2 linked regions of the Schizosaccharomyces pombe genome follow. The protein of the gene in region 1 interacts with the protein of each later gene in a biochemical or structural test. Each region holds a gene or a part of one and is shown on either strand. Other genes may lie near its edges.

The links.
Region 2: of the proteins of cka1 (region 1) and tel2, one has a biochemical effect on the other in vitro, tested with the Schizosaccharomyces pombe proteins (one study listed by BioGRID).

What each region holds. Positions count from the first base shown.
Region 1 is NC_003424.3:2,149,990-2,154,915, forward strand, and holds cka1 (serine/threonine protein kinase Cka1), read left to right. Parts: upstream 1-2,047; 5' UTR 2,048-2,164; coding exon 2,165-2,210; exon of another isoform or gene 2,211-2,270; coding exon 2,271-2,551; exon of another isoform or gene 2,552-2,554; intron 2,555-2,709; coding exon 2,710-3,022; intron 3,023-3,083; coding exon 3,084-3,385; intron 3,386-3,478; coding exon 3,479-3,535; 3' UTR 3,536-4,234; downstream 4,235-4,926. Other genes in the region: alanine--tRNA (Ala) ligase Ala1, read left to right, coding at 1-92; 3'-5'-RNA exonuclease Mpn1, read left to right, coding at 635-755, 795-893, 941-1,139, 1,191-1,353, 1,397-1,612; hcn1 (anaphase-promoting complex TPR lobe accessory factor subunit Hcn1/Apc12), read left to right, coding at 4,806-4,926. UniProt on the Schizosaccharomyces pombe protein: Catalytic subunit of a constitutively active serine/threonine-protein kinase complex that phosphorylates a large number of substrates containing acidic residues C-terminal to the phosphorylated serine or threonine.
Region 2 is NC_003424.3:4,732,644-4,738,228, reverse strand, and holds tel2 (TTT co-chaperone complex LRR repeat subunit Tel2), read right to left. Parts: upstream 3,409-5,585; 5' UTR 3,368-3,408; coding exon 761-3,367; 3' UTR 631-760; downstream 1-630. Other genes in the region: dli1 (meiotic dynein intermediate light chain Dli1/Dil1), read left to right, coding at 1-40, 82-624; SPOM_SPAC458.02C (mRNP complex protein), read left to right, coding at 4,414-4,509, 4,630-4,803, 4,901-5,585. UniProt on the Schizosaccharomyces pombe protein: Component of the TORC1 and TORC2 complexes required for the regulation of the cellular respons to changes in available nutrients. Required for normal entry into S phase. Regulates activation of the DNA replication checkpoint.

The sequences.
Region 1 (4,926 bases):
ATACTTGCCAAGGTGTAGGTGATAAACCTCTTTCCATCGACGTTGCAGTGGAGGAAGCGATTGAGTTTTTTCAAGGGAAGTTGACGATTTAAGTTTCTACGTTATTTTGTACTCTATCTTTCATTATCTTCTACATAGGCTCAACTTTTTGTTTGTTTTATAGTCCGAGCATTTTAAAATTGCTCAACAATTTCAATCATTATACATAAACTCATCGTAGGCTTAAACGTCGAGTGTTTACTCAATGAACACTTCTTAATTTTAAGCGATAGTTTGAAAATTACAATTTCCCAGCCGCGTGTTATTGTATTATTAAGATTATGTGTAAAGCCTGAAGATCACGATTTCCTATTATTTACTGCTAGTCTGTCACGCTAATACAGCATACTTATATGTACAAGTCTGAACAAACCTACCACTGACTTCAAGAGTGAAAGGATAGGTTTATTGCAGTTCATATGAAATCGGGATTCTAAGCAAAAGCTTATGTCTATTCGAATACATACTAATAACCAAACTATTACAAAAATTTTTGCATGAATATCTATTACTATTACAGGCCATTTCTACACCATTCCTTGAGAAAAGAAAGTAGCCATCTTTATTATATTAATAAAAAAAAATAGAAGAATAAATGTCTTTAGTATGTTATGAGAGTTCGAGCTCCGGAGAAGACGATGACGAGACAATATCTGATAATCCCCGAATGTTAAAAGTCCCTAAGCTCCAAGAATCATTTCACGAACTTTATAAGAGTAAGAAGGTTTTAATGTTTTGATAACTCATATTCTTAGAAAAGCCAAAAACTTTTGATAGTCCTGAGTTTCATGAGGGTCGAATTCGTGGACAAAAGCATATTGAAGGATTGTGGTTTGTTCAAACATATTTGGAGGGTAATAAATCAATTTTTATTTAACAAAAAGTTGACAATTATCAATAGTGGATTTGAGCAAGAAAGTTAAAAAAGGCATTCGTGAGTTTTTGAATTCACAAAGTCGGTTTCAATCGCTTCTTTGCTCTGAGCATAATGTACCAAGAAGATTACATTTAAGCATATCTGAAAACTACCGCATAAATTATTCCACTAAGAACCAATTAGTGCACAAATGGGAACAATATACAAACAATTTGAATTACAGGTATACTCAGGACAAATAATCCATACTGTTGAGACTGACATATTAAAAAAGAACTTTAAAATTTCGACTGGGAAAGATGTGTCTACTATTTAATGACGAAAAAACAAGAATGTTCCTAGCTTTCGAATGTAAATTCAGTGACGAAAACTACAAAGACTTAATAAGTCATGCTAGTGACTGTATGAAAGAGTTTACAAATAGGAATTTGAGAGAGGTAAGTAAAGGTTCAAATAAGCGACAATTTTAACGCCTTCCAGGACTTTTTACTTCACATATCCTTTGCTTCATCGTTGACAAATGAAGACGAATATCAAAATTGGGTCAGTCAAGACAGAGAGTCCCATTTTTTTAAAACGATGAATGAAATTATTAATACAAAGATTCAAAAAGATCAATTTTCTGAAAGTTTTATCGTTGATAGCTTAAAGTTGTCAATTGGACATCTAATATTTACCTTTCCATTTTGTAAATAATTTATTAATTGGGGCGATAATAATATTATTACAATACTCGTTTACGAAAGAATATGCTCAGCTTCAAATCAATTGGTCTTAGGAACACAAAAAGTGATCATTAGCAATTGCATTCAGTTTTGTTACAAAGCATGCGGACTAAAACGTATGAAGGAAGAATAATTTCAAAAAAATTCCTTATTAGAAGCTTTAGTATACTCATTTTCGTCTTCTGTGATCGGATTTTGATTGCAACGTTTATCAGTTTTTTGTTACATTTCTTCTCACTAGAAAACAATATCATAACTATATTTTCACTTGTTTGGTTTATAAACTTAAGCCATATAGCGCATTAACTTGTTTATATTGCTATATTGCTTGTAACGGAGCTTAAAACACTTTGTTAATTTTCACTAAGCACTCTCTTTGCACTTGCATACACAAGACCTGCCCTTCACCAGCTAGCTTGCTAAACAAATTTTTTGGGTTCCGTTTCATATAAAGGATTTTGCATTAACATAGAGGGAGCACTCTAAGAAAAAAAAACGTGAAAGCTGAAAGGTGCTACTTACAATGAACCAGACTGAAGCGGCTCCAGTCGTCTCAGTTTCCCGGGTTTGTACGTATTGTGAAGTTCAAATTTATAAAAAAAGGATAACAAATGACTAATTAGATTTAGATGCTCATGTTAATGAGGAGATGCCCCGTGAATACTGGGACTACGAGAACATGCAGGAGGTATTTGGATATCAGGACAATTATGAAATTATTCGGAAAGTAGGAAGAGGAAAATATAGTGAAGTTTTCGAAGGATTAAATGTCTTGAACAACAGCAAATGCATCATCAAAGTCCTAAAGCCTGTAAAGTACAAGAAAATCAAGCGTGAAATAAAGATTCTACAGAACTTGGCCGGAGGTCCTAACATTATCTCACTGCTTGACATTGTCCGCGATCCAGAGGTAAGAATAAAAAAAAAAAGCTTTTTGTATTGAATCGTCTTGAAACTTGAAGGAGAAGAAATTTTGTGCTTTTCCGTCTATTGAGTTTATACGACTCTGGCTTTTGAACGTTTGATATCCATCAAACTATTGTATTTGTCGATACTAATATTTTATAGAGTAAAACACCATCTTTAATTTTTGAATTTGTTGACAATATTGATTTCCGTACATTGTACCCTACTCTTTCTGATTATGATATTCGTTATTACTCTTACGAGTTGCTAAAAGCTTTGGATTTCTGTCATTCTCGTGGTATAATGCATCGTGACGTTAAGCCTCATAATGTTATGATCGATCACAAAAAAAGGAAGTTACGGCTAATTGATTGGGGTCTGGCCGAGTTTTATCATGCTGGCATGGAATACAATGTTCGTGTAGCCAGTAGATACTTTAAGGGTCCAGAACTGTTAGTAGATTTTCGAGAATATGGTAAGTTGCATCCACTTTTGTTAAATATATTTACGTTTCTTTTTTCCTAACCAAACTTTAGATTACTCCTTGGATATTTGGTCGTTTGGTGTCATGTTTGCTGCTTTGATATTTAAAAAAGATACTTTTTTCCGTGGGCGGGACAATTATGATCAGCTAGTTAAAATTGCCAAAGTTCTGGGAACTGATGAACTTTTCGCTTACGTACAAAAATACCAGATTGTGCTGGACCGACAATACGATAATATTCTTGGTCAGTATCCCAAGCGGGACTGGTATTCTTTTGTCAACCGTGACAACAGATCGCTTGCCAATGATGAAGCAATCGATCTGTTAAATCGTTTATTACGTTATGATCATCAAGTAAGTTACCGAACCTGAAGGTTTTTACAGGATCTTATACAATCACTTATTTTTTTAAGTGGTATATACTGTATAGTTACTAACTTAGCATAGGAGCGTTTAACTTGTCAAGAAGCTATGGCCCATCCGTACTTTCAAGTACTCAAATAAGAACTGAGGGAAGGGACTATAACTCAATTATCTCTACGGACAGCCTTTTCATTACTAGTTCCCTTCATTTTCATAAAAATGAACCAAATCCAATTCTAGTTTTAATTCTGGTTCATGTTTTATTATTCTTTTCTTATTATTAGACTTGAGTATTCCTCTTCATTTACGTCGGTGATAATTTAAGCTAATATTTCTTGCCCAAACGTTATCATCTCCCACACGATTCCTCGAAACGGTTCTTGCATAAGTACATCCTACTATAATATTGCTTTCACGTGGCGGAGCCTTCCCACTACTTTTTCCCCGTACCTACTCGTTAGACACTTGGTCTACATAGTGTCTGTGTCTATTGCTTTCCCTTACTCAAATTAGAGTTTTTTTTATTTTTAAATGCTATCGGGCTTACTAAACAGGTTCCAATTCTATAGTTTTCTTTAATACTTTAAACGAGTTTTTACCTCTTTAGGTACCTAACAGCTTTATTAATAGTAAGTAACTCTGCGTATTATGCATAATGAATGCAATCTAAAGAAGCGATGGAAATGAATATGCGATATTTCATGAATGAAAAGTAAAGCCTTAATTAGAGAGCAACCTTACAAAACCTCTTATTCTGTAGCGTTAATCTTGCGCAGCTGCTCATCCTGAACTTGTTGAAGTTCAATGCTCAAAACAATTGCCTTTTGTAAATTCATTTTACTGTATTTAACACATATTAGAATTCATCATATTAAAAAAAATGATAATGTCATAAACTAGGGATGAACTTACAGGAATTCGCATTTATTCAACACTGATTCCAAATGAAACAGTATTTGCTTTTGAACCTCAGTCAGCATGCCAAAATTTGCACCAAAATCTAATTCAAAAGAATGTGTTGTGATCTTTGAATTCGGAAAAAACAACTTTACTTATCTTACTTGGTAAAGTATATTGTTTAACCAGGCAAATTTGTTAAAAAAGGAGTAGTTTACCTCTCGCTTTATGCGTATTTATGGTAAAACAAGTATAAAACACTATAACGCGGTAGCTCAATCTCTCGCTTTTAGAAAATACTTTACGCTACGATCCAAATAAATGGGTTAACTTGTGTATCGTCTACCAAAACAACACCTAAAACAGCGTGTTTTATCATTGCATTGCAACTAAGGTGAGTTTCTTTCTTCCTCTCTTGCTTTTTCATCCTTGAATGTAAATAAAATTCAATCAAGCTGAATATAAATTTAATAACAGACCACATTTGTGTACTACGTTTGTTAGTATCTCCAACATGTTACGAAGAAATCCTACGGCAATACAAATTACTGCTGAAGATGTTCTTGCATATGACGAAGAAAAGCTAAGACAAACGCTTGATTCCGAGTCAACAACAGAAGAAGCATTGCAGAAAA
Region 2 (5,585 bases), 2.6 Mb from region 1:
TAGTGGTATTCTACTAAACTTTACGGTTGTTCTGAAACAGGTAAGATACCCTTGAATACTTGCACATTTACTAATTTGTAGTTGAAGCATGCTTTAGGCTTGCATACCTCAGTCGATAATTCACAGGAATTTATTTTACAGTTTTTGCGAACGACACTTTTATCCGTACCAACGTCCTCAATTGTTTCTATCTCAGCGGACCCAACAAGCTGGAATAATCTCAACGTTTTAATGAAGTATAATTTTATGTTTCAAAAGTTTAAACCTCGAGATTTTCATGCTCAAACAATTCAATCAGAAACTATGTTTATACCTCCTTGTTGGGACACTATCTCTAAAATACAGAGTGTCAATCATGAATTTAATATCGCCCTTTTTAAACAAACCGCTAAAAATTTTTACGATACTCTTGACATAAGTTTATTACTTGGTTTATTTGATAAGAGTATATCGATGTTGAACTGTCATTCCTCAAAAATATCGGATGGAGATATACCCTACAAATCGCACCAAGTTTTTTTGCAAGAACTACAGAACAAGTATAGCGAGATTAAAACGTATTCTTCAAACAAATTAAATAAATCCTCCATAAAATCAAGTTTGTGGAAGGACTTAATTCAATAATTGTAATTGGCCTAAAGACATTCATTATTATTACAAAATCATATTATTTAATTAAAATGCATTAATGAGTTTCTGTCAAAATTTCAACCTCATAAATAATATTTTTTTTCTTTTAAATCATGACCATAAAGAACTATTAAAGTCCGGCTAATCCAAATCGCTCTGGAACCAAAGGAGCTGAGTCATCCAGTAATTTTTCCAATGCGAGCGTTCTGAATTCTGAAAGTTTATTTTCAAATAGAATTAAAACAGCTGCTGAGAGTGACTTAACTTTCTCACCTTGATCAGGGCTTTCAAAAAGAAACTTAGTATACGCCTCAAAGAAGAGCAAATGCTTCCCAAACTCATTAGCTAAAGTACGCCCAGAAGATATTTCTAAGATAGCCAAAAAACTAAACAAAAGCCCTTCATTAACTTCTGGAGTGTCTGATCGAAGTCGGCAGACCTCATTTAAAACGTCAACATATTCCCGGAGCATTCTGTTTGCCCCTTCTATCTTTGAGGTAAAAGTTTCAAAAAAGAGAATACCCAATGTCTTAAGATAGTAGACTAAAAACAAAGGCTCAATAAAAGCCGTTTTCCTAGATGCCAGCATATAACCACTGGTGAGGAGCAGGAACAATGATTTATCTACCTTAAGCGATAATCGATTGGCCTTTGGGAGTGGCTTTTTCGACTCGATTTCCGACTGCTTTGAAATATACCGTGTCTGTAAGAATTTCGGTCCCTCCGCATAATCCTTGCATTCACTCATTACCGGAAAAACTAATTTCCTTTCTAATTCATCACTAATCTTTTCAATAGTGGGTGAATAAAACTGATCGTGTAAATTTCCTGGAAGTAACTGGCTGGGAAAAAGACGTTCATTATCATCATCGTTGAATTTGCTAGCAGCTAAAGAAATACAAGATAAGATAAGTATTTTTTGGCGCATTGAATAGTCACTAACAAATAAATTTGTACAAATAACAGGACCACATATATCTAAACAGGTTAACAGAAGTTCCACTATAGCAGTCATTTGCATTTCATCAAAGTTCATTAAGTCAAATCGATTTTGTAAGGAAATTAACGTTTGTAACAATTCATCTGCATGATCTCGTAATTCGGTTCCAAAAGCAGACTTTCGTTTTATTAACTTAGAAGCGTTTTCCAGTGCAACACGTTGTTTCTCAAAACTTTCTGTGTCTTTTAACATTTTGCACAAATCTTGTACGTACACAGGAGAATGCGTCTTGGATCTAGAGACAGTTGGATCGTCGTCCGTGTCCTCACTGTCAATATCAGGAAAATCGTAAGGCTCCAAGTCATCTCCCCTTATTAAGTCATCGTTTTTAGAAATCACTGGCTTCTCCAAGTGAGTTACATTCGTCTCTTCCTTTTCTATCGAAGTCTCTGCGATAACACTTTCGTCATTCAAAATTTCAATAGGCAAAAATTCATCCTTGAGTGAGCTCAACGATTTGAGAACTTTTGCTTTCGTAGTCTTCATTATTGGAACGTCAAAGGCTAACGGGTTACTTAAGCTGACACCCGAATATGTAGAGATTACTTCGGCCATTATCATTCCATGCATTCGAATATCATCATCTAGACTATCTAAACGGCAAGATATTGCATTGGAGAACATTAGGGATTTGGAAAGATTATTCAAATATTTTGCTTCAAGTTTCGGAATAAATAGTAATAAATATATTGTTAAGCTCTCTTGAGCTAGCAGCGTATAGCTCCTCAAAAATTGCGCATTTGACCATATATTAAACAGAGAGTCCACTGTTTTTTCTAGCTCCTTTTTATCAGATTCCTTATAAGATATACTCGAACAAACTACTTCTACCCTTTTAATTATTAAATTTGTAGGGACGCCCCAATAAAATTCAATTAATCGAAGGAAGTGAGTGGATGAAAAGTTCAGCCTTAATAATGTAGCCAATGAACCTGTTATACGATCATCTCTTGCGGTGGAATATGAAAAATTGGTGGGATATTTGGTATTATGTTCAAGAAGAAGTTGATTGAGAAACAACATTTGATCAGAGACCGTCAAATCTGCAAATAATTTTTGTAGCTGAACACAAAATTTTTGTGTTAATGGAATCAATGGGTTAATGAATGCCTTTAAATTGGATGAGTGTAATAAATAATGGAATAGCTTTGAATATATTTCTGGGGTTTTAACAGCAGGTTTAGATATAATGCAAGCCAATTTTGAAGATAAAACGCCAATGTAGTCGGCCATTGATGAAGCCTTCAAACGTTTTGAATCATCGTAAACCTTGAAGGTAAGCATTGCAGCAGACATTGAATTAGTAATTTTAAAGTTTCCCAAGAAAAAAATAAATTCAGTCCACAAAGATTGCTTTTGATGATCAGATAATACAGTAGATTCCCATATCAATTTACAGTTATCGTCAAGGTCTATACATTCAAATGCTTTTTCCAGTAGCTCAAGATAAACTGTAACAAGATGAATGTTTTGCAAATTAGCCTCTTGAACAAAATTATCTAGTCGAACACATAGCAGTTTTAAGCCCAAAAGAGTAGAAAAACATTTTGCAAGGAGAAAATCTATTTCTGAATTAATTTTCCCATTCCAGAATGTGGGCACTATCACACTAATTAACTCATGATATAATCTTAGATTGCAAGGAGAAGGAACACCTATATGCTGCAGTTCTTTAAGGATTTCTTTTAAACGCGGCTTTTGAATAGGTTTGGATAGTTCGCTAGCAAAGGATTTCATATCCTTGGAGTTGAAAAATAACCGAATTATTTTGGGGTGTTGAGAAGACAGTAACCTTCGGTGGATTAATTCACCGGTCAGCAATCAGCAATATGCAGGATTATAGGCTGCTTGGCTAAAACAACACCAAAACTCTTTACAAAGTATATAGTTATTTTTAATTTGTTGTCCATGTAAATTACTTTAAATTCTATTAATTGTTTTTCATTCTATAAAGGTAATTTGAACTCAATTCATATAGTTTTTTAAATTGTGCTCTTAAACTTCCTGAGAATGGTGTATGCAACAATTACATGGGTAGCATCGGGATATTCTGTGAAACCTGTAAAGCTCTTCGATGTATTATTTTCACGGACTTTTCACAGCCTGAAATTGAATAGGAACTTACAATTTACGTGACAGAAAAAGGATATTATGTATAATTTAACTTAAAGACATTTTGTGCTTATATGCAATAGTTGTAACAAAAGAATGGATAGTTATGCTTTCAAATTCGCTTTCTATAAGTGAAGTATCCTGTTGCTTTATAAGACTAGTTGCAATATTTCTATTTGCTTTTAAAAAGCAAGTAACTTTTAGTTTAAAACTGTTTTTGTGTACCTCCCAAATTAAATGTTAATGCTCCGCTAATCGGTAAGCTAATCCGTGAGAAAAAATGCATTAATTTTTCTTGTTTCGTTCAAGTCAACACATTGCAAATAAAGGTCACTAAATTTACAATTCAGGATTTTTAAATTGAAATATTAAACATAATACGTGGACGAGTGCAAAAAACTACCAGTTTATTTAAATAAATAAAAAAAAAATATCATAACATGTATTATCGTAATCTTTTCCTTAGACTGCTCTTCACACGATGTCTGAATAACCGTCAACAAAAAGCTATTTATAAAAATTTCAGAAACAGGTAGTCTCCTTCACAGCACTGCGAACGAAAACTCTAGGGAAGCAAAACAAACGGAGTTTATCTGCCTTGTTATATACTCGTTAAACGACAACTCAACACACACCACTATCCACCACCAACAACAAAATCCTTAATAAAAATGTCATCTCATAAACCCGTTCGTCCTAATGAAGCTCTTCACAAGGAGGCTTTGGAGGAGCTTGATGCTAAGATCAACGAGGCGAAAAAGCGTTTCGTAAGTAGTTTTAAATTCTTGAATATTGAAGGCTAAGCTTTTTTTTTTTTTCATAACTATGAAAGCTTCAAAAAATCACTTGTTTCTTATATAGTTTTCGCATCTTAACTAATCAACTAGAATGAGCATAAGGAGAAGCTTGGTGCCATTCGCGGTGGTGGTTCATTGCAGGAGAAGAATGCAGAACTTCGCGCTGAATTAGACAATATTCGCAATGCTCAAGCAGCTATCCGTTCTTCTAAGCAAACTCTCATCAACAAAGTCAAGGCTCAAGATGAACTTTTGAAAAAGAAGGTATGTTTTGCATTAATATATGTAAGCACTAAAGTTTTGTGTTGGAAAACTTTATGAGCTTGGTAAAGAAACAAAATGTTTACTGACATACTTTTAGGTTAAGGAGTTGACTGCCATGAAAAAAACTGTTCCTTTCAAGTCAGAAGTGGAGCTTGATAAACATGTTAAACAACTTCAAGCCGCCGTTGACTCAGGAACTTTAAAGATTGTTGATGAGAAGAAATACCTGCGTGAAATTTCTCAGTGCAATCGTACTAGAAAGAGCTTCGTTGAGTTGAACGCTCTTCAAACTAGTATTGATACGATTAGAAATGAACTTAACGAGCTTCGTGATCAACTTAATGATTCAGAATCAAAGAAGTTGAGTGACAAGTTCGTAGAAATCCGTTCTGAGCTTGATGAGGTTCGTAAGCAACAAGACGGTTACTATAAAGATCAGCGTAAGCTCATAGCAGAAAGAGATGATGAGAAGACTGCACTCGATGATCTATATAATCAACGAAGAGCTTTACAACGTGAGTACGATACCCAATTGCGCGCATTCCGTACTTATGAACGTGAACAACGTGCCAAAAGACAAGAACAGTTTCGTCTTGAGCGTGAAAATCGTGAGAAGGAGAAGAGAAGAATTGCTGCTCAACGCAAGTTAGAAGAGGCTAGTATTCCTGCCTTTACGGAAGAGATTCTTGCCTGTGAAAACTTATTAAAGGTGTTTCATGTTCCCGTCGAATCTTCTACTACAAATGCCGTTTCAACCGGAAATACTTCTAGTAAAATTTTGA